2 linked regions of the Tamandua tetradactyla genome follow. The main gene of each other region encodes a partner of the protein of the gene in region 2 in a complex. Links are inferred from orthologs where the notes say so. Each region holds a gene or a part of one and is shown on either strand. Other genes may lie near its edges. The genes, in order: WNK3 and KLHL3.

The links.
Region 1: the proteins of KLHL3 (region 2) and WNK3 are in contact, whole or in part, in a crystal structure (PDB 5NKP), measured with the Homo sapiens proteins. The link is inferred for Tamandua tetradactyla from reciprocal best matches to the Homo sapiens genes KLHL3 and WNK3. Residues at the interface, in NP_059111.2 of Homo sapiens: Lys312, Arg339, Phe355, Gly357, Arg360, Thr386, Phe402, Gly404, Ser405, Gly407, Ser432, Ser433, Tyr449, Gly451, Arg454, Cys456, Ser481, His498, Arg528, Tyr577; in NP_065973.2 of Homo sapiens: Glu537, Cys538, Glu539, Glu540, Thr541, Glu542, Val543, Asp544, Gln545, His546.

Annotation. Positions count from the first base shown.
Region 1 is NC_135353.1:114,427,884-114,443,265, reverse strand, and holds the start of WNK3 (serine/threonine-protein kinase WNK3), read right to left. Parts: upstream 5,759-15,382; 5' UTR 5,646-5,758; intron 5,415-5,645; exon of another isoform or gene 5,235-5,414; intron 4,834-5,234; exon of another isoform or gene 4,498-4,833; intron 1-4,497.
Region 2 is NC_135346.1:17,188,054-17,203,309, forward strand, and holds the start of KLHL3 (kelch-like protein 3), read right to left. Parts: upstream 5,911-15,256; 5' UTR 3,375-5,910; coding exon 3,208-3,374; intron 1,261-3,207; coding exon 1,141-1,260; intron 1-1,140. UniProt on the Homo sapiens protein: Substrate-specific adapter of a BCR (BTB-CUL3-RBX1) E3 ubiquitin ligase complex that acts as a regulator of ion transport in the distal nephron.

The sequences.
Region 1 (15,382 bases), on a different chromosome or scaffold from region 2:
TAATGCCAATTTCTGGCTAAATAAAATGATAATTATAGATTCTGGGTTTTTTTTCCCTAGATTTAAGCAAAGATTTTGTCCTACACAAAATCAGAAATCAAAAATAATTATTTTTATTAAAAAATCACTTATACAACTTTAGGATAAGGATTGACAAATTGAAGTTCCCTTATCATAAAGTCTCAGTGATTCACAAAAGAGCTTTAGAATATCCCACCTCTTCAAATACAAGTGAACTTCAAAAACTAATTTAGAAACATTTCTCTGGTACAACTGACCAGAGTGATTAGATATTGCCAAAAAATATCTTCATTTAACGACTATACACATACAGTACTGTGCATTATGTTTTATAGTTTTAAATTTTCAAGTTAATCTACATGAAAAGGATGAAGTTAGACCTTTACCTCAAACTATTATAAAAGTTAACTGAAAATAGATCAAAGACCTAAATATAGGGCTAAAACTCTTTAAAAGAAAACATAGGGATAAATTTTCATGATCTTAGATTTGGCAATGGTTTCCTAGATAAAAACACCAAAACCACAAGCAAAACAAAAGAAAAAAACTGAAAAATTTGACTTTGTCAAAATTAGAAACTTTTATGCATCAAAGGACACTGTTAAGAAAGTGAAAAGACAACCCACAGAATGGGAGAAAATATTTGCAAATCATATATATGATAAGGGTCTAGTATCCAGAACATATATATATATATACAACTGAACAACAAAATGACAACCCAATTTAAAAATGGGCAAAGGATTTGAACAGACATTCTCCAAAGAAGATATACAAATGGCCAACAAGCACAGGAAAAGATGCTCAACATCACTAGTCAGTTACGGAAATGCACATCCAAAACACAGTGGGATACCACCTCACACTTTCTAGTATGGTCTTAATCAAAAAATGGAAAACAACAAGCATTGGTGAGGATATAAAGAAATCAGAACCTACATACATTGCTTGTGGGACTGCACCAGCATAGCCTCTGTGGAAAACAGTTTTGTAGTTCTTCAGCAAGATAAGCATAGAATTACCATATGACTCAGCAATTCCAACTCCATTTCCTCAGGATGAATGAAAGCATATGTTCACATAAAAACGTGTACACAAATGTATATAGCAACATTATTCACAGTAGCCAAAAGGTAAAAACAACTCAAGTATCCATCAACATATGAATGGATAAACAAACCATGGTACAGCCATTCAATGGAATATTATTCAGCCATAAAAACAAATGGAGTTTTGATACATGTGACAACATGGATGAACACCGAAAACATTATGCTAAATGTAAGATGCCAAACATGAAAGTCACATATTGTATCATCCCACTTATATGAAATGTACAGAATAGGCAAATCCAAAGAGACAGAAAGCAGATTAGAGGTCCCCGGGGAGGGGAGCCTGAGGAGAGAGGGGAATGCGGGAGTGACTGCTTAATGGGTATGGGGTTTCCTTTTAGAGTGATGAAAATGTTCTGAAGCTAGATAGTGGCAATGGATGCACAACGTTGTGACTGTACTAAATACCACTCGATTGTACATGTTAAAATGGTTTAAAAGGTGAGTTTTATGTGAATTTTACCACAATTAACATTTTTTCAAGTTATCATGCTAAAACACAAAAAATATATAACTCATTTCTATTAAAGGAAAGTTCATCCAAAAATATATTTCTGTAAAAAAGGCTTACCTCTGCAGTAAGTCAATCTCAGCATCTTCCAAACCAAATTCTCATGACAAGTTTTACCAAAACAATAAAATATCATATCAAATTCCACTTTTGAACCTTTGTGAATTTCTAAATGAATGCTTTTACAGCCATCTATTACAATTATTAAGTAGTTTCTAACACTGCCATAAGTTTTATGGTCTCAAACAAAAATGGAAAAGTCCCACTCCTTTGAAAGAATTCTGGCTTTTAGCCAAGAGAAGTAATCAAGTATTTCAGCAAATAAAGTTGGTCTATTTATCCGAAGATGGGAGATGAAAAAGGAAGCGTTCTTTCTTACATACAATTTCGATTGCCCACCTCCCCCTCCCCATACACATATACACAAAAACTTACACCCTTCATTAATGTTTTTTTAATTAAATTACCAGACTATAAATCTGCGAGTACATAACAGTTTTCATCTTCTTTACTCCTGACTATTCTGGTTCTTTGCAAACATTGACTTGATCATTTTCTGGCTAAGCGATAAGCAACCTAGTGAAGACAGAAACTCCTCTATTTTATGGAAGATAGTTAAATCAGCATTAAAGAAAATAAACTCCTGAAACACTACAGGATAATTACATCAATGAATAAAGACTTATCCTCATATGAGGATCAGCATTGGTCTAGAAGACAGGGGTCTATCACTTACTTACTGGTGTAAGTCTTACTATTTGTAGACTTTACTTTCTTTCTCAGGTAAAAGGAGGAAAATACCTTTCCTGCCTTCATTCCAACAGAAGTACAGTAATAAAAATATGCACAAGGTATAATGGGAACTCTAAAGAGGGGCACCTAACCTAGCTTGGTGGAGTGTGCTTAGAAAAGGAAGGGGGCACAGCAAAGTCTTTTGGAAATAGGTGATTGCAGAGGTAAGTCTTCAAACAATGAGTTCAAATTGAAAGGGAGGGGGAGAAAGAGGATTCCAGGCAGAAGGTGGCATCACAAGCACAGGCAAAGAGACAAACCCCACAAATCTGCTTATGTGTGTAACTTCTTAAAAACAGCCAAGGATTCCTAACTCCCAACCCCAGCCTCAACCTAAGATTCCACTCCCCAGATTTACCAAGCTTATGCTTTCAAACCTCAATGCCTTGAATGTCCTCCACTACAGGAGCATTTAGTTCAAAATTGGAAGACAACCTTGCTAAGCAGAGTTGGTGCAACATTTTCAGGTACTGGATACTTTCTCAATACACTAACTATTCATCTCAACTAGAGATACTATGAACAGAATTACTAACTTTTGAATTCAAACTCTGGGTAGCCAAAACAGAAATTACACTCTTTCCAACATCAAAAAAGAATAAAAGAAAAACGGCATGGGAATGTCCTCAAGTTTGCAACATTGTCAAGATAAATGAATACATGTCAACAAAGTTTGTAAATATAATCATGAAAAGTTATAAATCCATAGACTATTAATCGTGACACAGAACAGAATGAGACCATTACATCTTTACCAGAAGACAAGCAATGTATTCAGAGAACAAAATGTCCAAGTTATCTGCTAGAATTTGAACTCACATCAAAAAACAGGCTCCAATTTGCAAACAAGGTAAATTCAGAATGACAAAAAGAATCACATGCATGTTTATTTTAGTGTTCAAATCAGCTGTTGTGCATTTTAGCTATCCTTTAATGCAAGGTCTTTCCTCTGGACTGTGCAGTTTAAACTCATCAGTACAAAGAATACAGAGACTGTCTGCAAGACACACCTGCTGCTCAGTGTTATATATACTGAAACCTCTTCGAATGTTCTCTTGGTATAACAACTTGCTATAGATGAAAAAAGGTAACAATGTCTCCCAAAATTGGATGTAATCTCTACTATACAGAAGATTTTCAGAATCCAAGACTTCATTCATATAATTGCTTCACTCAACAACAGTAACTCTTTAAAAAGAATACCCACACCACTTCTCTTTTTAAATTTTTTTTGAGGACTCTTTCATTTTAACAAGGTCTATCAACTCCCAAGATACGGAGATAGGCACGTGCAGGATTTTTACCGACATAAATAAAACCTCTTTCAGTACAGTCACTTCACCACTTTCATTCTAACCCTAATACACCCTCTCCTCCCTATCCCCAATCTGCCCGTCACAGAAAGCATTACCCATTTTCAAATAACAGTTCTCAATCTGCTTGAACCTAACATATTTTTACACAACCAGCCAATAGTCCTATCGACCCCCATACATCAACTGAACCTTTAAACTAAATCCACTCTTTCCCCGCCCCATTCCCATCAATATAACCCACTGCAACCTTACTCAACTTCCCACACCCGAAGCGTTCTACCCTTTCAGCGGCCTCAATCACACTTAAATGATCACTCGGTCCTTTGTCAACTGTTTCTTAGTCCCCCCCCTCCTATATCCTACTCATCTTCCCCTGTTCCCTTGTTGCCATCAACTCCCAAAGTTGCCATCTTCCTCCTCACCCCCTTCTCAAAAAAGATAACAAAAAACGCACCTAAATCTCAAACCTGCCCTTCCCCACTTTCCCCCTCTTTATTTTCGTGTCCGCCTGTGTTCGATCACTTAAACATCAGCTTCGACAAACCCCAAGATCCGAGACTCTTGGTTACTGCAATCACCCAGCCTGGGTCAAGCTGTCCCCTACTAAAGCTCTTACTCCGAACAGACTCTTGGCCGCCGCTGCCTCTCTCCATTCATCTTTGGCCCATTCATCTTTCAGCCCAATCTCAGACACGCCCCCCGGCCTCCTCCTCTCCCAGCGTCCAAAACGGCCCGGGACCCTCACCAGATTAGAGGATCTCGCGGAGGGAGACTCGGACTCTCTACGATTCTCCCTCGCCCTCTTTGAAGCTTCTGCTCGCCCCTCTCCGTAAAACACACACGCACACCACCTCCTCCTCTCCCGTTTCTTCCGATGCTTCTTACTCTCCCCTCCTCGATGTCTGGAGCACCGCTCCGCGTCTTGCGCGCGTGCGCGCGCGAGCGTCTCCACCAGGAGCCCACCGGACCAGCCAGGGATGGTAGGTAAAGAGCGGGCGGGGTTAGGGGAGCGGGGTACAAGCCCAAAGCTCGCGCACGCCTGGGAGCAGAGAAGGCGCACGCGTACTCCAGCTAGGGAATTCAGCTGGGTAGGAGAGAGGGGCGGAGGGGGGCGGGGAAGTGAGGGGACGGGGCTAAGGACAGGGTGAGGGGCGGAGAAAACCGACAGACCAGCCCCAACTCCTAACTGCCCCTATCGCTGCGAGGGGCCGTTTGGCTAGCCAACTACAGGATGCGCATTTCTCCCCCGCCCTCTTCAACGCAGCGGGAGAGAAGGATGCGCGTCGAGGAGAAAGGCTGCTCTTTCCAAAATGAAAATATCAGTGAGGAACGACGCATATCTGCTATATATTAAGGAGCTCTCCCTCTCGTCATCAGTTGTTTTACCCTCCCCCTTCAAAAGAAAAAAGAGTCAATGCACACGCCACTTCCTAGCCACCCACCACCCACTTTCAGTTGTCCCCAAGCCTCTAAATGCGGTACCTCTGCCGGCATGTGGTACCCAACAGCACCTTTTCGGCTGCCACCCCAAAGTCCCTTTTTCCAACTCCCGACTTTTCTCGCGAGACTCATACCTGCAGGCTTCGGAATTAGAAGTCGAAGCACAGATTTATAAATACCGGTCTCCCGGTTACATTATGAGGGCAACAGCCATGGCATATGCCCCCCCTCCCCGCCCGAGGATCGCATTGTGCGCGCATGAACTGAAAGACAACGAAAGCAGTGATGGGAAAGAAAAGCTATGAAACCGATATTTGACGGCATGTAACCGCTAGGCCTGGGCACGTGCCCTGTGCCTCGCAGACGGGTACGGTGTACCCTGGGAATTGTAGTTTTTGCTCCCACTTCCAGTCCCACTCCCACCCCACCCCCACCCCCCACCCCCAGCCTTACTTTAGACCTCGGGCCGGGAATTGGGGCGGGGGGAAGTTACCGACGCCATTTTGCCGGGAACAATGGCCCTCGGCCCTGGCAGTGGTGGGGAGGGAAGGGAGTCACGTTGTAAGGGTTCGGTTCACCTCCCCTGGCCCCTGGGTACCATAGCAACCCCTAAGACGCCTTGTCCCGCCCTCTCGCTACTCTGCTGGGCTCCTAGGCTACGCGCATGCGGAAAGGCCACCTCCCTCTTAGGCAGGCTCTCACGGTCTCCGAACGACCACCTCCCTGAGAAGCAATCAGATCCTCTAGTTGATAGTGAATGCTGAGTCCTTTGAGCTTTCATGACATGTTAACTTCAGCCAGTTGGCTTCATTTAAGAACAGCTTCCTGTGCTGTGTCAGGCGCAGTACAGATTTTTTTCTGTCATTCTCACATCGATCATCCCGGCTCTCCAGAGGAGGAAACTGAGGCTCTGGATGGGAAAATGACTTGCTCAAGTTCACACAATTACGTATAGTGGAGCCAGAACTTGAACCCAGGTGTGCTTCCTTGCAGCGCCCCTGCATTTTCCAATCTCCCAGCCCCTTAATGAAAGCTCCTAAAGGGTGAGATTTTTTCCCCACATGCCCTTGAGGCCTTAGCAGGATGCCTTGGGGGGGGGGGGGGGGTCGGATTACCAAACTAATATTTTCAACTACCCAGCCTCAGAGCCATATCACAGGGCTGAGCCAACCTCTCCCACCACCACCACCACTCCCCATACATTCTTTTTCTTTTTCTTTTTTTTTTCCTGTTGCAGGCCGCAGAACGTTAGCCTTTTTTCAGCTCTTTAAAATTCATCAATAAATTTAACTCTTGAGGTTTCCAAAGTCAGTGGACTGAATGGAGGGAGGCCTTGTAGCCCTGTCTCTTGTCTCTGCCCCTTTCTTCTTGAAGGTCGTTTATTAATGCTAGAATTGCTTGAGCATGTAAGAAAACCAGACCATGCCCTTAATGAAATCAAACTCCCATGTTTCAATTTTGATAATGAGGGGAGACTCTGAGTAAACAAGAATCAGGGCTATAAAGTCCAGCTACTCCACCTGCGAACAGCCTCCTGACCAAATTTGGAAGAGCAAGGTGTGTTTTTCTCCAAATAGTGCCACCACTCTACCTTAAGGGTCTCTGCATTCCCAGTTAGCTATAAAACGGATGGGGTCTCCCACACTCCTTTCCTCACTGGCGCAAAAAATAGTGCTATTTCTCTATTGAATTGCTGACTACTGTGGAAAAATAGAATAACAGTAGCTAAATAGCCTCTAAGGAATGGTTTCAAAGGTTACAAAGTTATTCCAAGTCTTTGTAATTCTTGGCTCCCACTGAGATGGTAATTAGAAACTTGTTTACTCCTTTATTTTTTCTCTTGGTTGCCTTACTCCCACCAGCACCGCACACGTCCACCTTTACAAAAAGTAACAGGCACCCCGCCACCCCCCCCCCCCCGCAGTTATGGCCTCTTCCTTTGCCTCTGTACCTGATGATGCAATCAATATAAAACAATATTTGGAAATGTCAGCCCTTCACCTTGCTCAGATTTGAACCTGTCTGAGCATTCGCTCTTTGACAGTCAAATATTTGTTTAATAACCATAAATCAGTGTGACTTTTACAAACTTCAGAAATTAGAAAATCGGACAAGTCTCCTCCCTATCCAAGTACAGACCCTTCTCATTTTAGACCTTTTATTGACCTATGTGCTCTTCTGTTTGCAATAACCTAATCCATAACTCAGCACAAATGCTGCTATAGAATGAAAGGGCAATTATAGCTGCTTACCAATCTATGGAAACGAACATTCCCGTCTTACCCACTGTCTCTCAAGTGGCATCTGTAAGGTTTCTATTCATGGAACAGCAAACTTTACTTTTATCAACCACTTGTAATTTGTATTTATATTATTCCAGGAAAACATCTTTCCGATAATCTAGTTCATCTATCTGGAGGTTCTGGTGCCAAGAAATTACAAAAACCTTCACTGGAACCACTTTTAGACCCTAGCATCCCACAGGTTTGGGGTGGAAAAGGTAGTTTCATGGCCCTACTACCTTTTTCTCTTCTTCCTACTACACAGAATGGTAACTTCTAGAAAGAATGGAGCCAAGATGAGCCTCAGAGTTTACAGTTAGCTGACTACTTCAGCCATGGTTAGAGATGTGACTGTTTCTAGAACTCAGTTTCTCTCTCTGAACCCTTCTTTTACCAAGTGATTGGGAAAACAATATCATTCTTGAAGTTCATTTCTCTTAACCCAGGTTTGAGGAATATGTAGTTACCTGGAAAGAAGGCAGTAGGGGTGGAGTAAGGGTATCTGTTTTCCTGTCCTTAGATCCAGTCAGTTACTGCTGAGTTCTCTGCCCACATGGGTCATTCAGGTGCTGTGGTCCTCTCCAGCATCTCTGCCAAACTTGGTGCACAGAATTCTATGTTGAGGCCATCTCTTGGTCTGTCTGTCTAAACATTCTACACAGCCTTTCCTCTCTTGAGTCTTGCCATGTATCAGATATTGCTTCTGGGAAGCTGAGCTATGCTGCTTTAACTCTCACAGCACTCTCTCTGTCTGCTCTTGTCACCTCTTCCCCCCAAGAAGGGAGGAATGAAAAAGAGCAGAATCTTTTTTTAGATTTGTGTAAATCTTTTTCTTCTAGTTTTTGGCCCAGATACTTTGTCTCTGCTCCTGCACCCTAGTCCCTCTTCTCTAAAAACTTAGGCTTTTAGAACACAAAATCCAGAGAGACTAGTAGAGTATATGTTTTCCTTCCTTGCCACCTCCCTGCAGATACATTGCAAAGCTGAATATACTGGTGAGGGGGCACTGGAAAGATTTTAAAAAGGCAAAATATAAGGAAGAAAAAAGATCCATTTATTTCCCATAATTATATTGCAGGCATATTCTCCCTTCAATAAATCTAAGCATTTACTTCTCATCCAGGTGTCCCCTGCTCAAGACATTAGCTCTCAGGGCCTGAATGTATGGGCAATATTTTCTTTCACAAAGCTTTGGCATTGGGGGAATTTCTCACTGGGATCATCTGGGACTTGTTAATGTCCTCCCAGGAGGCTGTCTTTCCTCCCAGCACAAGTTGAATGTCCCTTGAGTAAGAGCAAGCTGTAATAAGCATCACCTACCTCAGAAGTGAGCAGCTGTCTTTGGCTTAATTACTGACTTAGAAACACTGCACCTTTAAGGCTGGGCAATATCATTTTTCTAACCTAGTTGCAGAGTCTGGTCTCCTATTCCTTATTCCTAAACACAGTCTTTCCATATGTCCCAAGACATACATCAGAGGGAAATTGAGTGCCTTTGCCTGGGAAAGTGACCCTTGGACAGCGTGCTTGAAAAAGAGTAAGCCCACATCACTTCTCTTAAATGTGCAGTATCCAAGCTTTTAACTCCTTTGCAAATTCCCCACATGCCCAGGCTGCAGAAACTGAGTTGGGGTTACTGGAACTGCCTTTCCCTCTCCAGGTAAAGATACATTTTAGAAATATTCAGGCTGGCATAAGATATTAGGATATTCTTGTGGAAACCAGAGAATTCAGTCTCCTGGGCTAAGACTGCCTTTGAATGCAATTGTGATGTCCAGATTCAGCAGCCCATCTTGCAAGGATGAAGTAAAAAGCTTAGGGACAAAAAGGCAACACGTCAAGGATGGTGAGAAGGACAGAAAAAGACTAGGTTTGTGATGACATTGTTAAGCAGCTGATCCAATGCTAGCTAGCATCTGTGTCCCTCCTTTCCTCACTTTCACTCACCCCTCTCTCTCTCTCTGTCCCAAACATTCCGTAATAGTCTTTGAATAGTCTTGTCACAGCCCATTGGCATTTCTCAAATCCTTCATGTAGCAGATATGACTCTTAGTCACCCACTAAGGTAAATAATAATAATAATAATGCCAGCTAATAATTAAATAGCATTTACTATATACTTTATACAAGCCCATTGAATCTAACTGGGTAAATGCCGTTACTAACATAATTTTTCAAATAAGTAAACTGAGGCACAAAAAAGGTGAAATAACTTTGCCCAGAGTAACACATCAATTAAGTGACAGAGCTAGAAGTTGAACCCATTCAGTGTCCATGCTCTTAATCATTTTGTTATATCTTTCTGTATTGCCTGTGATTCCATTTAACTTTGGACATCAAGCTCCCCATTCCATGAGGCTGACAACATAATTTAACCTCAGTTCTTCTTGAAGTTCCTCTACCCCAGGCTCATGCCACAGTTCTGGACTATTATACATTGTTGAGGCATTGGAGCAAGAGCCCATTAAATCCTTAGTCATCAAGCAACACAGGTTAGCAGTCAGAAGTCCATTGCTTCTGCCCACAATATTCTGGCAGGGCTTTGTTGCTATAGGACCCTGCTTGGGAATTTTTGCACAGGCTCTGTTCTCTTCAAGATTTGCTGTTTACGCAGGGACAATGCCAGGAAGCACCACACAGGTTCCCTCTACCCAGGACCCAAGGATCTCCCTGATCACATTACATTAACCCCAGCCCTAGGGAGCAAGAAAAGAATAGAATCTCTTTTTAGCCTAGATACAGTCCTTCTCACTTTGAATTTTCTGGCCAAGACACTTTGTCTATGCCCCTAATTCTTCTCCCCTAAGGACTTGGGCTTTTGAAATACAAAAGCAAAGACACTGGCAGATGAAATCTTCTAGTCTTGCCATATCCCTTCTCCTGGGACAATAAGACCTGGGAAGAGTAGGCAGGGAAAAGAAGATATAGAAAATGAAAGCAACAACTATAGAAAATACAAAAATATCTCAGTTTATTTAATAAACAGTGCTTTCAAAATTGGCTTTCCAACTAGATAAAAGCAAAGCTAGATCCCTACTTTATGCCATATACAAAAATAAATTCCAGGTGAGTGTCTATTTCCCTGCATCTATCCATTGCTGATAGGAGTATGAATCACTACTACCTTTTTTGGAAAGTAATCTGGAAGAATTAAATAACAATAAAAATTCCACAGTATCTATTCAGAATGGTTTGAGCTGCAAGTCACAGAAAATTTAACAATGTCTTAAACAAATAGAGGTTTGTTTTTCTTTCTCACATAACAAGAAATCTGGAGGGACACAGATGCTAGCTAGCATTCGATCAGCTGCTTAACAAGGTCATCACAAACCTAGTCTTTTTCCATCCTTCTCACCATCCTTGACAAGTTGCCTTTTTGTCCCTAAGCTTTTTACTTCATCCTTGCAAGATGGGCTACTGAATCTGGACATCACAATTGCATTTAAAGGCAGAAAAAAAGGGTGAGGGGGCAGCAGTGGGCAGGGAAGCAAAAGATACACATCTGTACTTTTTTTAGGGAAGACACTTTTCCCCAGATATCTCCAAGGAAACTCATTCATATATCTCCTTTGCCATAACTGGATGACATACCACTTAAAGACCAGGGACTGGGGCCACCTTCCTTGAGATCAAGGGTTCTCTACTTAATACCGGAACAAAACCAGCATTCTGTTTGCAAGAAAGAAGGAGGAGAATGCCAAATGCCAAATGATTAGGCAATCACGGTGCCTGCTATATACCCATTGACTCAGCAATCCCACTGTTTGAAATCTATCCTACAGAAAGAAAAGTACCAAGAAACCTGCATGTCCATAAATACAGAAATGATTGAATAAATTGTGGTGTAGTCACACTAAAGCATATTACACAGCTATTAAAAATAATGAGTTGGATTTGTACCTGTTGATCTGGAGGAAATTGCAAAAGGGTCTCTAAACCATAATTTTAATACTGGTTACCTCATTTAGGAGTATGTATGTGTTTAAGGGTGGTTAGCACATGTTACTTCTGTGATTTTGTAGAGCATTTTAATGAAGAAAATTTATAGCAAAACTTTTATGCATGCAAAATGGAAATGTTATAATGAAGTCTTTTACAATAATTTCTTGAGAGAAAATTGTTTTTGAGCTGCAGTTTTAAGCCAGGCATGCTTTTTCAAGAACACATCCTTACATAAAACAAGGAGCACTTGATAAACTATTTCTGTTCAGAATGCAGGTTAAGTGATATACTTAAAAAAGAGTATTGGACTGACTGTCAGGAAATCTGGGAAAAATAATTATAGTAATGCTGCTACTGGTAAGAAAGACAAGCATGCAATTATAGTCTCGACTTCTGGTGGATTTAGAATACAGAAGAGGAGATAACACATAAACAAGTGAAAAGGAAAATAATAATTCAAGAATTGTCACAAAGTACTGAACAACTAATTGTCATGTACATGTTCCTTGCAATAAGTGCTACAAGCTGTCAGGCTTACATTCACTCAGTCATAGACTATCAGAGCACAAGCTAAAATGTCAGACCCTGACATTGGTAGCTGTTTCTGCATACTTTTTTTCTCCACAATTGGTTTCTGAAACTTATTTATTTTCTGGTTCCCCAGTTTCAGTGACTGATGCCCTGGCTTGTTGCCATATACATAATCTGCCCTGTGTATTGGGACTGGGGCTTGTCTTGCTTTCACCTGTCGCCCTCCTTCACAGAGACCAAACCTGAAACCTGTCCTGGGACTGGCTGAGCTTGTGCTTCTTGCTGCCAGATTTCCACGATGATGCTTATATAGGACTAAATTGTACCAGCCTCCTCGCTAATCTCTCTGCCTGTGGCCTAGTAGCACTAGTTCATTTCTCACATTGGCCAGCAGTGATCTTTGTAACACACAGATCCATTTGTGTCACTTATCTGCTTAAAACCTTTCAGTGGACTTCTGGCCACGATTGAATAACAGGGATCAGACTTACCCTCTGCCTTAAATAACTGAAAACACAGACTAAATATATGAAATAATGGTTTTCAGACATTGAACATCAAGCAGTGCAGGAAAATGATCCCTGCGAGGTGAGAAAAAAATAAGGTGACTTCTATGGTTGCCCCAGCTCGCCCCTGTACAGTTTCTAGACCACAGTGCAGGGAGGGGGAATCCAAATTGAGCTTGAGCCTCACCCTTAGTTGAAGAGGAGGAGCTGAGAATTGGGGAAGGCCAAGATGGCTAGAATTTATATGACAGAATGTCAGAGAGGGACAAGGTGCATGGAAAGTAAAGAGCTTAATGGAGAAAGTGCATCAGAGACCTCCAGAGTGTTCACCTTGAGTCTTCAGGTGAGCATTAGAGAATACATGTATATGATAAAAGTACCAAGGCCAAGGAAAGAATCACTTGAAAGGAACAGGTAGGAGGGGGGAGGATTCCCCAGGGCCCACACTGAGTTGGGATAATTCATATTCCTAGCAGAGTGGAGAAACCTTGCAATACATGGAGCATCAAGAAGAGTAATCAGAGGTTGTATTGCCTCAGTAGCAAGGCAAAATTATCCCTAGACTAACGACTACTCTGGTCTCACTGTACAATGCTTTAAGGCAAAACTCAAAAGAGATAAAATTGTTTCCCAGTAATTAACTGTGTCTCAAAGCAAAGTTCAAAATAATTTAAAGGAATACACCCACACCCAAAAAATCCACAACCCAACAAGGTAAAATTCAATGTCTAGCATCTAATAAAAAGTTATTAGGCATCAATTCTACTCCTAAGTATATACCCAAAAGAATTGAAAACAGGGACACAGATACTTGTATGCCAATGTTCATAGTAGCATTATTCATGATAGCCAAAAGCTGGTAACAACCCAAGTGTCCATAAAACAAAATATGATATATCCATAGAATGCAATATTATTCAGCCATAAAAAAGAATGAAGCTCTCATACATAGCTATAACATGGATGAACCTTGAAAATATTATGCTAAGTGAAATAAGCCAGACACAAAAGGACAAATACTGTATGATCTCATTTATATGAAATATTCAGAATAGGCAAGTTCATAGAGAAAGAAACATTCAAAGTTATCAAGGGCTGGAGGGGGGATGAGAAGTTATTGCTTAAGGGGTACATAGTTTCTATTTGGGATGATGAAAAGTTTTGGTAATGAATGGTGGTGATGGCTGCACAACATTGTGAATATAATTGAAGCCACTGAATTGTACACTTAAAATGATTATAGTGGAAAATTTTATGTCATATATTTAACAGTTATCAGGCATACATAATAGCAGAAAAATGTGACCAATAATGAGAGGAAAAGTCAGTCAATAGGAGACCTAGAAACAGGATAAAGTTAATTGACAAGGCAATTAAGACAGCTTTTATGAATATATTATATAAATTGAAGAAGGTAGAAGAGGAAAGAGTGGGCATATTAAGAAAAAACATGGGGCGGGCCGCGGTGGCTCAGCGGGCAAAGTGCTTGCCTGCCATGCCGGAGGACCTCGGTTCGATTCCCGGCCCCAGCCCATGTAAAAAAAAAACAAAACAAACAAACAAAATACAATAAAACAAGAAAATGTTTAAAAGATGTTTCCCTTTCTTCCTTCCTTCTTTCCTTCCCTTCCTCCCTCTTTAAAAAAAAAAAAAAAAAAAAGAAAAAACATGGAAGGTATTTTTTTTTAAAGACCCAAATTGAACATCTAGAGATTTTAAAAATGTGTTTTCTGAGGAGAGAAATACACTGGATAGGATTAACAGCAGATTAGACATTGCAGAAGAATTGTAGCAATAGAAATTATCCAAAATGAAACACACAGAGAAAAAGGACTGAGCAAAATGGATAGAGCATCAGTGAGCTGGGAGACACAACTTCAGGGAGTCTAATATATATGTAACTGGAGTTCCAGAAAGGGGGCAAGGGCAGAAAAAAATTTGAATAGCTAATGACTGAAATATTTGCAAATTTGTTGAAAATTGTAAAATGAAAGATTCAAGATGCTCAAAAAACACCCCAAGCAGAAGTAACATGCAGAAAACTACGTGAAGGCAGGATGATAGCTGGCTTCTTGTTGGAAACAATATAACCTGTTGGGAACAGGAGCTCCCTTGACAAGGAAGCCAATTGTTATGCTTGAAGGTATTCTACTTTCAAGAACTGTGTCATCCTCTTTCTATAAGTCTCAGCAAATATTTGTTGGGAAACTATGAAGTTCACTAATTTATTAATTTGTTGCACACTTACTGACACCCATTATATGCTCAAGTTGATGTGGGCACCAGGGACAGAAGATTTAACTAGGCCAAGTCCCAGCACTTGAGCTCACACTTTAGTCAGGAACACAGCAAAAGATCTGTGGTTTTATAACTCTCAACAAATTTTGAAAATTTTTGGCCATTCATTCTTCAACCATTTTGGTTGTAATGTTGGGAAGAACTTGTTGCTAATGATTTTCAAAGGATTAAATAGAGAATTTTGCGTGCAATTTTCCTGCTGACTTTGAGGTCCTGCAGGTGCTGGGCTGATAAGGATATAAAGTTGGAGTTCTGGAGATCATGTTTGGGTCACATAAACTGCTGACTTGTACAGAGAAACCCAGTCTTTATTTGGTCTGTTTAATGTCTGTCTCCGTTACAAGATTATAAACTCAAAAAACACGGGAATCATGTCTCTTTTGCACAGTACTATAGCCCTAGAGTCTGATATAATGCCTTATGTATAATAGGCACTCAATAAATACTTATTGAAAGAAGTTATAACCTGCTTCACCTCTTTAAAGAATAAATAATGGTCGTCTTTTTCCAGTTAATTGTTTAAGCGCTCACCTGCCTTTCTCAATAGCGATAGATGTCGCTATCTCCCTTTGAGGCTTTTGTTCTTAACTTGGTAAAGAACCCTGGGTATCTATTCATTCCAAGGTGACCA
Region 2 (15,256 bases):
CTGCCTCCCCCTTGTCCCACCACCCTTCATCTCTTTAACTCTTACTTGCCCTTCAAAATTCAGTTCAACCATCACCCTCTTTAGGAAATGTTCTCTGAAGTTCCAGTGTGATATACTTGCTTTCAAAGCACTCTTTAAGGAACAGGAATTTACTGCACACCTACCACCTGTCAGGCACCTGGTGCATTCCTCCTTCATAACACACCCATACACTGTGGAAAGATCATTTTCATTGATTTATTTTTAATTACTTTACCCCCACCCCAGGGCCCAGCCAGTGTGCCTCCAGTCATTTTTGGTAAATGAATGAAGCTCCTATGAAGTGCCAGGTGCTGGAGATAGAAATGACTCAGAGGAGGCCCTGCCCTCAGGGAGCTTACTGATAAACTAAACGAGAAAAGAGGAAATAAATGATCACAGCTCATAACAGGAGGAATATATGGTAAATCATGGTATGGGCAAGGGAAGTTTCTGAGCTCTTTGCTTAAGGAAGAGGCTGGCTGCGTACACAGGCTTTGTAGAGAAAAATGCAGGGATGGTGCTTTCAGCCTGCCTTGGAACAAACTCATCAAAGGCACACTTACAAATGACCTGCATTCCCCTAATGATTTAGTTCGTGGAGGGTGAGTACATCTGCATTTCATTTCTTTCTTTACAGAGTTAAATCACATTTGAGCAATTAGGTATTCTACATTCATGTGACTGCCTTGCCAAGCTAAGTTCAGATCAAGGAAGGAGAGAGGGAGGCTAAAAGAAAATATGTGGCATCAGTAATATTTCATCTGTAATTGTGTGTAGGTGTTGCTATCATTCTATTACTGGTCTTCAAGCAGCTGGTTCAGTTAGAAATCAAGTCTATGAACAAAGCTGCTGTAATCATAAAGGATTTGTCCCCTGTGATTAAACACTAAAATGACAGGTGTTAAATACAAAATGAAAAAGAGAAATTTCCAGCAAAACCATTCTGTTTCAATCAGTGTTTAAAAGAGAAACCAGGAGCGTTTCTCTGAGAGTGGGTGGGAAAGAAGCAGAGCTAGCTCTATGCGGTGGTGTTCTGACTCCTGCTCTCAGTCCGGGAAGACGCTCCTCCCCCCGCCCCAAGTTTCCCCAGAAAGGGCACAGGCAAGAAAGGAAAAATACCTCCGCAGTTCATTCATAACCTTGAACGCCTTCCCCATGTGGGCAGGGTTGACTGTGATCGTCCTCTGGTTCTTCTCATCATCCCCAGCCTGCGCTGGTGGCTGGGAGCTCGGCTTGATGCTGTGAGCAGGAAGGGAGAGGAAGGGGAGAGGATCACACATTGGTAAATTCATCTGTCCAACTGTCACAAAACCATGCATTTCCTTACCCACTAGGGGAATCTCTGCCAGCCCATTCTCACCCCAGACTCAGCAGGAAAGGAAATGCATTGGGTCAGGCATTTCTGCAGGATTTTCCAATGAAAAGTGCATTCCTCCTGAGAGGGCTGAGGACTAGGTCCTAGGTCAGCTTCTTCCACTAAATACTTGTGTGACCTTGTGGAAGGTCCTTATTTTACATCCTTCCATCTAAGGGCTAAGAACCATACCATTCACTTCACAAGGATGTTTGGGCATTCAACAAAAACTTAATAGAGCTTACTAAGTGGCAGGTACTATATTTAATTGGGACCAAGTGCTGGCAGGTTAAGGGAAAAGTTCCTGGAAGCTGAGACCTACAGGAAGAACAGAAATTAGATATATATTTGATATATATATATATATATATATATATATAGTAGATATATATATCAGATATATACATATATAAAAGATAAAACGTATTCCAGGCAGAGGAAGCAGTATGCATATAGACCTCAGAAGAGAAAAAGATCAAAGTGTGTCCAAAGTACTTGATAGTATAGCACAAGAGGAGAGCATCAAGAGAAAAGGCTAGAAGAGTGAGCAGTCTTATAAGGGTCTTAGAGACAAAGCTAAGGAGTATGGATTTCACGCTGAAACAATGAAAAGCCGTCAAAGGGTTTTAAACAGAGAAGTAGGAGAGGAAGCAGGTGAACAAATTTGTTCTTTAGAAAAAGCACATTGCCTGTGGTATGAAGAACAGAGGAATAAAAGTGAAGGCTCTTGGGAAACCATAATCCCACAGAATGACAGGGAATTTTAATTGTTATGGAAAGAAGGGCTATCTGTGTGGGCTGACTGAGCAGATGGTTACTAGTCAGAGTCACCCATAATCTCAAAGCCTTCCAGACTAAAATCAAGAGACAAAACATTCAGATTCCTATGAAACATCAGCTAGCTGTCCAAGTACTCCTGACCAATATGTTTCAACTTCACTGGGGGTAGGAAGGAAAGATCGAAAGAACGCGGAAAGGAGAACACAAGAAAAGACTTTCTCCCCAAACTAGTGAAAACTATTCAGTTTCAAGGTTAAGTCTGGGATTTGAAGTTACGTCTGTTTAGACCAGGCACAGCTTAGCTTTGCTAATAGGGAAACAGAAACTTCTCCACTCATGTAGAACTGGGGACCCACAGTTCACCCCAATTCTAGGACACTAGGGGTAGTAGTATCCCTTGACTTTCCCTAGGGGTCTCCTCTGTGCATGGCTTGCAAACTGGCTAGAGAAAAGGGCTACTGTGGCTAACAGAATATTGCAGAAATTTGACAGTCTCTCAGATTTCTAACTATTGGAACACTGAAATAAAATGAACAAGACAGACCTACAGTTTGTCTGTCTGATAATGTCAGACTCCTCCTTTGGCTCCCTGCCTCACCTTCAATTCAACATGCAAACATAAGCCTTAGTCATCTGAACTTTGGGGCTGTTTGGATTCTTGGTACAAGGAAGTCAGCTGAGCACAGGAAGCTAAATATCAAGAGATGCATGAAGGCAGATGATTAGAGTCATGTATCTATGTGGATAAAGAAAATCTCAGGCCAGAAAATGAGATCAGGATGAGGAGGCACCCCACAAAGATGAAAAACTTCATGAAAGAAATCCCACAAGCAAAATTCCTTTTATAGTTAGTGCCCTTCCTTGCTCTAAGGACAGAAAGATATTCATTTCCATTTTCTAATAAAAGCTTAACATTTTTTATTTTTGTATTTTAAGCTTTTATTTTATCTGACATTGATTTTATGTTATGATATTGTATTAGATAGGGTTCTCTAGAGAAACAGAATCAACAGGAAACACTTGCAAATATAAAATTCATAAAAGTGTCTCACATAACCATGGGAATGCAGAGTCCAAAATCCGCAGGGCAGGCTGTGAAGTTGACAATTCTGATGGAGGGTCTGGACGAACTCCACAGGAGAGGCTCGCCGGCCCAAGCAGGAAGAGCCTGTCTCTTCTGAATCCTCCTTAAAAGACTTCCAGTGATTAGATTAAGCATCACTCATTGCAGAAGACACGCCCTTTGGCTGATTACAAATGGAATCAGCTGTGGATGCAGTGGACGTGATCATGATTTTATTCTATGAAATGTCCTCATTGCAACAGATAGGCCAGGACTTGCCCAACCAGACAAGCAGGTACCACCACTTGGCTAAGTTGACACATGAACTTGACCATGACAGTTCACTTCTTGTCTACTTGGCAGCTATACATATCACCTTAAACCACACTTACTTCTAAATAAAAATCAATAAAACACATTTTTTCTTTCACCTAACAATACTCAATTGTCCTGCATATAACTAGAAACACATTAAATCTCTCCAGAATAGGGTGCAAATCCTTGGGTAATATTCATTCTTAAACTTGGTATCTTACAACTTAAATAGTATAACAGGAACAAAACAGCATTACAGTCCTCGTGTCTGTAACTGATCATGTGGTCGAGGTTCATATTTATCACTACCTTCTTCCACTACCCATTCCATGTTCCCTTTACCCTCACCAAGCGCTTCAGCTGGCCATGGTTCTTTGCCTGGTGGGATGACCAAACCTTCATTCCTGAAGTTTCAGAGCCATTGGTATTCCTGCCTGGATTAGGTTGTTGCAGTTTTTCATTGATTTTAATCACAGGGCATAGTAGTACTAAAAGACGCCCTAGGGGATCTCCTATATTCCAAGAAAACTCTTCATTACCTCCATTGTGTAGTTGCAGTGCTATTTCCCCCTGATAGTCAGGGTCAATCACCCCAGACAATAATGTAATCCCCTTCTTGGCTTGTTGATCCAGGGGCATGAGTAGCCCAAAGTGACCAGGTGGCAGTCTTAGATTCCAGTTCAATGGAATCACTGTTTCTCCTGGTGGAAGCACTCCCCCTTTTGGAACTAAAACCCGTAGCCCAGCAGAGCTCAGGGTCACAGGGACATGAAGCAGAAATTTTCCAAGTTGATCACTAGGGGTAATAGTGAGTGGTGCCACTCCCATTTCCATCCCTCGGTTCCTGGACCCATGGATCCTGGCTATGGGATAAACAGCACCATACAGTGGACGCTGATTCAGAGCATATGTAGCTTCCTGGAAAACATTACCCCAGCCCTTCAAGGTATTGCCACCTAGTTGGCACCGTAATTGAGTTCTCAAAAAGCCATTCCACTGTTCTATCAATTCAGATGCTTCTGGATGATGGGGAACATGGTAAGACCAGAGAATTCCATGAGCATGTGCCCATTCTCGCACTTCATTTGCTGTGAAGTGTGTTCCTGGATCAGAAGCAATGCTGTGTGGAATACCATGATGGTGGATAAGGCATTCTGTAAACCCACAGATGATAATTTTGGCAGAAGCATTGCATGCAGGAAAAGCAAACCCATATCCAGAGTATGTGTCTATTCCAGTTAGAACAAATCGCAGCCCCTTCCATGAAGGGAGTGGTCCAACGAATCAACCTGCCACCATGTAGCTGGCTGGTCACCTCGGGGAATGGTGCCACATCGGGGGCTGAGTGTGGGTCTCTGCTGCTGGCAGATTGGGCACTCAGAAGTGGCTGTAGCCAAGCCAGCCTTGGCGAGTGGAAGTCCATGTTGCTGAGCCCATGCATAACCTCCATCCCTACCACCATGACCACATTGTTCATGAGCCCACTGGGCAATGACAAGAGTTGCTGGGGAAAGAGGCTGACTGGTATCCAAAAAATGGGTCATCTTATCCACTTGATTATTAAAACCTTCCTCTGCTGAAGTCACCCTTTGGTGCACATTCACATGGGACGCAAATATGTTCATGTTTTTAGCACACTCAGAAAGGTCTATCTACATACTTCTTCCCCAGATGTCTTTGTCATCAATTTTCCAATTATGGCCTTTCCGAGTCCCTGACCATCCAGCCAAACCATTAGCAACAACCCAGGAGTCAGTATACAAACACACCTCTGGCCAGTTCTCCTTCCAAGTAAAATGAACAACCAGGTGCACTGCTCGAAGTTGTACCCAAGGGAGGATTTCCCCTCACCACCATCCTTCAAGGACACCCCAGAAAGGGGTTGTAGTGCTGCAGCTGTCCACTTTCGGGTGGTACCTGCATATCATGCTGAATGATCTGTAAACCAGGCCCGAGTTTTCTCTTCCACAGTCAATTCACTGTAAGGGACTCCCCAAGAGGCCATAGCTCTGGTCTGGGGGAGAGAAGGTAATGTGGCAGGAGTAGAGACCATGGGCATTTGGGCCACTTCTTCATGTAACTTACTTGTGCCTTCAGGACTTGCTCTGACTCTATCTCATATATACCATTTCCATTTTACAATAGAGTGCTGCTGTGCATCCCCAACTTTATGGTTTGGTGGGTCAGACAACACCCAGCTCATGATAGGCAACTCAAGTCTCATGATAACTTGGTGGTCCATGGTTAAGCATTCAGTTTCTACTAAGGCCCAATAGCAGGTCAAAAGCTGTTTCTCAAAAGAAGAATAGTTATCTGCAGCAGATGGTAAGGCTTTGCTCCAAAATCCTAAGGGTCTGCATTGTGATTCTCCTATAGGGGTCTGCCAAAGGCTCCAGATAGCATCTCTATTTGCAACTGACACTTCCAGCACCATTGGATCTGCTGGATCATACAGCCCAAGTGGCAGAGCAGCTTGTACAGCAGCCTGGACTTGTAGCAGAGCCTCCTCTTGTTCAGGTCCCCACTCAAAATTAGCAGCTTTTCTGGTCACTCAATAAATGGGCCGGAGTAGCACACCCAAATGAGGAATATGTTGTCACCAAAATCCAAAGAGACCAACTAGGCATTGTGCCTCTTTTTTGGTGGTAGGAGGGGCCAGATGCAGCAACTTATCCTTTACCTTAGAAGGGATATCTCAACATGCCCCACACCACTGGACACCTAGAAATTTCACTGAGGTGGAAGGCCCCTGTATTTTTGTCAGATTTATCTCCCATCCTCTGACATGCAAATGTCTTACCAGTAAGTCTAGAGTAGTTACTACTTCTTCCTCACTAGGTCCAATCAACATGACATCATCAATATAATGGGTCAGTGTGATGTCTTGTGGGAGGGAGAAATGATCAAGGTCCCTGCGGACAAGATTATGACATAGGGCTGGAGAGTTGATATATCCCTGAGATAGGACAGTGAAAGTATATTGCTGACCTTGCCAGCTGAAAGCAAACTGTTTCTAGTGGTCCTTACTAATAGCTATTGAGAAAAAAGCATTTGCCAGAACAACAGCTGCATACCAGGTACCAGGGAATGTATTGATTACTCAAGTAATGATACCACATCTGAAACAGCAGCTGCAATTGGAGTTACCACCTGGTTGAGTTTACAATAATCCACTGTCAACCTCCAAGACCCATCTGTTTTCTGCACAGGCCAAATAGGAGAGTTGAATGGTGAGAATCACTATCCCTGCACACTTCAAGTCCTTAAGAGTGGCAGTAATCTCTGCAATCCTTCCAGGAATCTGGTACTGCTTCTGATTTACTACTTTGCTAGGTAGGGGCAGTTCCTGGGGCTTCCACTTGGCCTTTCCCACAATAATAGCCCTCACTGCATGAATTAGAGAGCTAATGTGGGGATTCTGCCAGTTGCTAAGTATGTCTATTCTAATTATACATTCTGGAACTGGGGAAATAACTACGGAATGGGTCTGGGGATCCACTGGACCCACTATGAGATGGACCTGAGCTAAAACTCCATTGGTCACCTGGCCTCCATAAGCCCCCACTCTGACTGGTGGACCAGAGTGACGTTTTGGGTCCCCTGGAATTCATGTCACTTCTGAACCAGTGTCTAATAATCCCTGAAATATCTGATCATTTCCTTTTCCCCAGTGCACAGTTACCCTGGTAAAAGGCCGTCAGTCTTCTCGGGGAAGGCTTGGAGGAAGATTAACAGTATAAATCTGTGGAAGTGTAACAGGATTCTCCCCCAAAGGAACCTGGCCTCCCCTTCATTCAACAGGTTCTGGGTCTGTAAACTGTCTCAAATCTGGAAGTTGATTAAGGGGCTGTGGCTCTGTGCTTTTGTAATTCAGGTTAGACTTCTGTTCACTTGACCTAGAACTCTTATGTTTATACAGCTCAAACAAGAATTTAGTAGACTGACCTTCTATTGTATTTATAGGTACCCCATGATTTACTAGTCAATGCCACAAATCTCTGCAAGTCATATAATTTTGACTCCTGCTTTGAGTTTGTTGTCTATTATAATAGCCACATCTACCCTGTCTTTGGTGATTAAGTGCTGCCACCTGGCTTCTGCCAACTCGGGATCTGGTCATCTAGCTCAGTGGGATTCCAGCTCAGTGATAGCAGTTCCCACAGTAATATCTGACCTACAGAGAAGCGCAACTACAGAGCTCTTCAGGGATGATGGAATTAGTCTCACAAATTTATTTTTCACTGTTCTGGTAAAAGGTGCATCCTCTGGACATTCCTGGGGTGTAAGAGCAGGCTTTGCATGATAAATCCACTCCAACATTCCAATCTCTCTAAGCCTCTGGATCCCCTCATCTACATTATACCAGGACAGTTCTGGCATTTCAACCTCAGGTAATGTCAGCCACCTTTTGATCCATGTTTCAACCAACCATCCAAACAAACTGTTAATACCTTTTCTAACCCCTTGAGCTATAACATTGAATGCAGAATCTCTGCTTAGTGAGCCCATTTCAACCAATTCAGCCTGACCCAGCCTTATATTCCTCCCACCATTATCCCACACCCTTAAAATCCATTGCCACACATATTCCCCTGATTTCTGTCTATATAAATTGGAAACCTCACACAGTTCTTTTGGAGTATAATGCACCTCCTTATATGTGATACTTTGTACCTCACCTATAGGGGCCTATTGGGACTTTAGTCTAGTTATAGGTCTGGAAGAAATGAGGGACGGGTGGTGGGGGTGGGTCATGAAAAGAATTAGAAATATCTTCCAAGCCATTTGCTTCAGGGCATTCATTTGCAGTTTCATCTGGTGAAACAGGATTAATCACTCTAGGGCTAATCCCTTCAGGTGGAGGCTGGGTGGCCAACTCCGCAAGGCAGGCTGCAGGTGGGGTGGCTATGTTCTCAGGGCAGACTATTACAGGTTATCTGGAGAAGACTCAGCATGACCTAAGGTTTCAACCTCACCCTGACATCATTATTAATCCATACGTCACCATCCTATTTTTCAGGGTCCCACTCCTTTCCAATCAATGCCCTCATTTTCAGCAGACACCATGCAACATTGAGATTTCAGTTTACATTGTAAAGTTGCTACTCTAACAACAAGATTCTGAGTCTGAATTTCAGAGATCTCAGGCCTACGGCTACAGGAAACAAGATTATCCTTCAGGATACTCATAGAAACTTCGGCATCTGTCAGATGGCACTTAAGCTTCTCGTTTGAAGTCTTAAGCCTATCCCTTTCACTCCTTAATGTATTCAGTGTATCTAACAACAACCAGCCAACATCTCTACCTCTTATTTCCACAAAACTCCGGAAAGATGTCAAAAACATTATCCCCCAGAGCCTGGCTTCGTACAAGCGAAACATTAGGAGAATCGAATGGTGGTATTTTGACTATCTCTTTTGCCAACTCACTCCATGGATTGGGAGTGTCGTTCTGATTATGGGAATCAGAGTCCTTAGTGCCTCTGAGTCCAGTCAGAGCAGAAAACCATTCATAAAAACCCATTTTTAAGATTCTGTTTCTTAAGAACCAATCCTGGTACCAAGTTGTATTAGTTAAGGTTCTCTAGAGAAACAGAATCAACAGGAAACACTTGCAAATATAAAATTTATAAAAAGTGTCTCACATGTGCTTGCTTCGGCGGCACATATACTAAAATTGGAACGATACAGAGAAGATTAGCATGGCCCCTGCGCAAGGATGACACGCAAATTCGTGAAGCGTTCCATATTTTTGCAGCGCACCCCAAAGAGATTAGACCCAAATAGGCATTCCCCAAGACACTTATTAGTTAGAATGTCAGAGGTCAAAGAGAAAGAGAGGATCTTGAAAGCAGCGAGAGAGAAGCAATCCATCACATACAAGGGAAACCCAATAAGACTATGTGTAGATTTCTCAGCAGAAACCATGGAAGCTAGAAGACAGTGGGATGATATATTTAAGTTACTAAAAGAGAAAAACTGCCAACCAAGACTCCTATATCCAGCAAAATTGTCCTTCAAAAATGAGGGAGAAATTAAAACATTCTCAGACAAAAAGTCACTGAGAGAATTTGTGACCAAGAGACCAGCTCTGCAAGAAATACTAAAGGGAGCACTAGAGTCAGATACAAAAAGACAGAAGAGAGAGATATGGAGAAGAGTGTAGAAAGAAGGAAAGTCAGATATGATATATATAATACAAAAGACAAAATGGTAGAGGAAAATATTATCCAAACAGTAATAACTCTAAATGTTAATGGACTGAATTCCCCAATCAAAAGACATAGACTGGCAGAATGGATTAAAAAACAGGATCCTTCTATACGCTGTCTACAGGAAACACATCTTAGACCCAAAGATAAATATAGGTTGAAAGTGAGAGGTTGGGAAAAGATATTTCATGCAAATAACAACCAGAAAAGAGCAGGAGTGGCTATACTAATATCCAAAAAATTAGACTTCAAATGTAAAACAGTTAAAAGAGACAAAGAAGGACACTATATACTAATAAAAGGAACAATTAAACAAGAAGACATAACAATCATAAATATTTATGCACCGAACCAGAATGCCCCAAAATACGTGAGGAATACACTGCAAACACTGAAAAGGGAAATAGACACATATACCATAATAGTTGGAGACTTCAATTCAACACTCTCATCAATGGACAGAACATCTAGACAGAGGATCAATAAAGAAATAGAGAATCTGAATATTACTATAAATGAGCTAGACTTAACAGACATCTATAGGACATTACATCCCACAACAGCAGGATACACCTTTTTTTCAAGTGCTCATGGATCATTCTCAAAGATAGACCATATGCTGGGTCACAAAGCAAGTCTTAACAAATTTAAAAAGATTGAAATCATACACAACACTTTCTCGGATCATAAAGGAATGAAGTTGGAAATCAATAATAGGCAGAATGCCAGAAAATTCACAAATACATGGAGGCTCAACAACACACTCTTAAACAACAAGTGGGTCAAAGAAGAAATTGCAAGAGAAATTAGTAAATACCTCGAGGCGAATGAAAATGAAAACACAACATATCAAAACTTATGGGATGCAGCAAAGGCAGTGCTAAGAGGGAAATTTATTGCCCTAAATGCCTTTATCAGAAAAGAAGAAAAGGCAAAAATGCAGGAATTAACTATCCACTTGGAAGAACTGGAGAAAGAACAGCAAACTAATCCCAAATCAAGCAAAAGGAAAGAAATAACAAAGATTAGAGCAGAAATAAATGAAATTGAAAACATGAAAACAATAGAGAAAATCAATAAGACCAGAAGTTGGTTCTATGAGAAAATCAATAAGATTGATGGGCCCTTAGCAAGATTGACAAAAAGAAGAAGAGAGAGGATGCAAATAAATAAGATCAGAAATGGAAGAGGAGACATAACTACTGACCTCACAGAAATAAAGGAGGTAATAACAGGATACTATGAACAACTTTACGCTAATAAATACAACAATTTAGATGAAATGGACGGGTTCCTGGAAAGACATGAACAACCAACTTTGACTCAAGAAAAAATAGATGACCTCAACAAACCAATCACAAGTAAAGAGGTTGAATTAGTCATTCAAAAGCTCCCTAAAAAGAAAAGTCCAGGACCAGACGGCTTCACATCTGAATTCTATCAAACATTCCAGAAGGAATTAGTACCAACTCTCCTCAAACTCTTCAAAATAATCGAAGTGGAGGGAAAACTACCTAATTCATTCTATGAAGCCAACATCACCCTCATACCAAAACCAGGCAAAGATATTACAAAAAAAGAAAACTACAGACCAATCTCTCTAATGAATATAGATGCAAAAATCCTCAATAAAATTCTAGAAAATTGTATCCAACAACACATTAAAAGAATTATACATCATGACCAAGTAGGATTCATCCCAGGTATGCAAGGATGGCTCAACATAAGAAAATCAATTAATGTAATACACCACATCAACAAATCAGAGCAGAAAAATCACATGATCATCTCAATTGATGCAGAGAAGGCATTTGACAAGATTCAACATCCTTTCCTGTTGAAAACACTTCAAAAGATAGGAATACAAGGGAACTTCCTTAAAATGATAGAGGGAATATATGAAAAACCCACAGCTAATATCATCCTCAATGGGGAAAAATTGAAAACTTTCCCCCTAAGATCAGGAACAAGACAAGGATGTCCACTATCACCACTATTATTCAACATTGTGTTAGAAGTTCTAGCCAAAGCAATTAGACAAGAAAAAGAAATACAAGGCATCAAAATTGGAAAGGAAGAAATAAAACTATCACTGTTTGCAGACGATATGATACTATACGTCGAAAACCCGGAAAAATCCACAACAAAACTACTAGAGCTAATAAATGAGTACAGCAAAGTAGCAGGCTACAAGATCAACATTCAAAAATCTGTAGCTTTTCTATACACTAGTAATGAACAAACTGAGGGGGAAATCAAGAAACGAATCCCATTTACAATCGCAACTAAAAGAATAAAATACCTAGGAATAAATTTAACCAAAGAGACAAAAAACCTATATAAAGAAAACTACAAAAAACTGCTAAAAGAAATCACAGAAGACCTAAATAGATGGAAGGGCATACCGTGTTCATGGATTGGAAGACTAAATATAATTAAGATGTCAATCCTACCTAAACTGATCTACAGATTCAATGCAATACCAATCAAAATCTCAACAACTTATTTTTCAGAATTAGAAAAACCAATAAGCAAATTTATCTGGAAGGGCAGGGTGCCCCGAATTGCTAAAACATCTTGAGGAAAAAAAACGAAGCTGGAGGTCTCGCGCTGCCTGACTTTAAGGCTTATTATGAAGCCACAGTGGTCAAAACAGCATGGTATTGGCATAAAGATAGATATATCGACCAATGGAATCGAATAGAGTGCTCAGATATAGACCCTCTCATCTATGGACATTTGATCTTTGATAAGGCAGTCAAGCCAACTCACCTGGGACAGAACAGTCTCTTCAATAAATGGTGCCTAGAGAACTGGATATCCATATGTAAAAGAATGAAAGAAGACCCACATCTCACACCTTATACAAAAGTTAACTCAAAATGGATCAAAGATCTAAACATTAGGTCTAAGACCATAAAACAGTTAGAGGAAAATGTAGGGAGATATCTTATGAATCTTACAACTGGAGGCGGTTTTATGGACCTTAAACCTAAAGCAAGAGCACTGAAGAAAGAAAGAAATAAATGGGACCTCCTCAAAATTAAACACTTTTGTGCATCAAAGAACTTCATCAAGAAAGTAGAAAGACAGCCTACACAATGGGAGATAATATTTGGAAATGACATATCAGATAAAGGTCTAGTATCCAGAATTTATAAAGAGATTGTTCAATTCAACAACAAAAAGACAGCCAACCCAATCACAAAATGGGAAAAAGACTTGAACAGACACCTCCCAGAAGAGGAAATACGGATGGCCAAGAGGCACATGAAGAGATGCTCAATGTCCCTGGCCATTAGAGAAATGCATATCAAAACCACAATGAGATATCATCTCACACCCACCAGAATGGCCATTATCAACAAAACAGAAAATGACAAGTGCTGGAGAGGATGCGGAGAAAGAGGCACACTTATCCACTGTTGGTGGGACTGTCAAATGGTGCAACCACTGTGGAAGGCAGTTTGGCCGTTCCTCAAAAAGCTGAATATAGAATTGCCATACGACCCAGCAATACCATTGCTAGGTATCTACTCAAAGGACTTAAGGGCAAAGACACAAACGGACATTTGCACACCAATGTTTATAGCAGCGTTATTTACAATTGCAAAGAGATGGAAACAGCCAAAATGTCCATCAACAGAAGAGTGGCTAAACAAACTGTGGTATATACATACGATGGAATATTATGCAGCTTTAAGACAAGATAAACTTATAAAGCATGTAATAACATGGATGGACCTAGAGAATATTATGCTGAGTGAGTCCAGCCAAAAACTAAAGGACAAATACTGTATGGTCCACTGATGTGAACGGACATTCGAGAATAAACTTGAAATATGTCATTGGTAACAGAGTCCAGCAGGAGTTAGAAACAGGGTAAGACAATGGGTAATTGAAGCTGAAGGGATACAGACTGTGCAACAGGACTAGATACAAAAACTCAAAAATGGACAGCACGATAATACCTAATTGTAAAGTAATCATGTTAAAACACTGAATGAAGCTGCAGCTGAAAAAAAAAAAAAGTGTCTCACATAACCATGGGGATGCAGTCCAAAATCCATAGGGCAGGCTGTGAAGGTGATGATGCCGATGGAGGGTCTGGATGAACTCCACAGGAGAGGCTCACCGGCCCAAGCAGGAAGAGCCTGTCTCTTCTGAATCCTCCTTAAAAGGCTTCCAGTGATTAGATTAAGCATCACTCATTGCAGAAGACACAACCCTTGGCTGATTACAAATGGAATCAGCTGTGGATGCAGCTGACATGATCATGATTTAATTCTATGAAATGTCCTCATAGTAACAGACAGGCCAGCACTTTGTTCAACCAGACAAGCAGGTACCACCACTTGGTCAAGTTGACACATGAACCTGACCATGAAAGATATGAACTAGGGATCTAATTTTTCCCCATAAGTACCACTTATTAAATTATTCTTATTCTTCCCATCCATCTATCATGCCACCTTAGTCATATATCAAAGTTCCAAATAAACAAAGATCTATTTCTGGACTCTCTAACCTATTCTGTTGCTCAGTTTGTCTATCTTTTACCAATACCACATTATTTCTGTAGCGCTATATTGATATCTGATACAGTAAGTCTCAATTCCTATTATTATTCTTCAGAAGTGTCTTGGCTATTTTAGGTTCTTTACTCTTTCATATAAACTTTAGCCTACCAAGTCCCATGAAAAACCCTCACTGGATCTTGCTATCCATGCACATTGAGTTTCTCTCCATTTACTTTCTTTATGAAGATACTGCACATACTTAATTAGGTTTATTAATAAGTACTTTATAGTTTTTATTGTCATTTTATAATAGCTATGGTATCTTTTTAAAATTACATTTCTGATTGTTCTGGTTTATAAAATGTAGTTGATTTCTGCAAACTGATCTTATATACCTTACCAAACAATCCTATTAGTTCTTATTTTTTGTCTGTATACTCAGTTAGGTGTTATGTGTAGATAATCAATTACCTCCATATCATGCCAGGGATTTTTTTTCCTCCTTTCCAGTTCTTAGGCCTCTAATTTCTTTTTTGAAATAAATTTTGCACTGGTTAGGATGGCCACAAAATTTTGAACAGAAAAGGTGCTAATGAATATTCTTGTTGAATTCCTGATTTTAAAGATGTTCTTATAGGATTTTTATGGATGCTGTCAAGTGGAGAACATTTCCTTATATTTTGACTCATGCATTTCCTAATATAACTTATGTTGACAGCTTAATTGAACACCATAAGTACATGGAACCTTGAGTGGGGCATGAAATTTTGTAGGTTTGTTCACAGTGATGCCCCAATAAATCTCAGAGTGATATAAACAGTGAATAAAAAAGTATTTGCAAAGTCCCCTTCGGGGAATGGCGAGAAAGGGGGACAATTCAACTTCCCCAAGTGGAAAATTCCTGATAGTCTCACAAGCAGTGGGGACAACCAAAGCAATAGGCTGAGCCTTCAATCTTGGGGTTTTGTTCATATGAAACTTAACCTCGCAA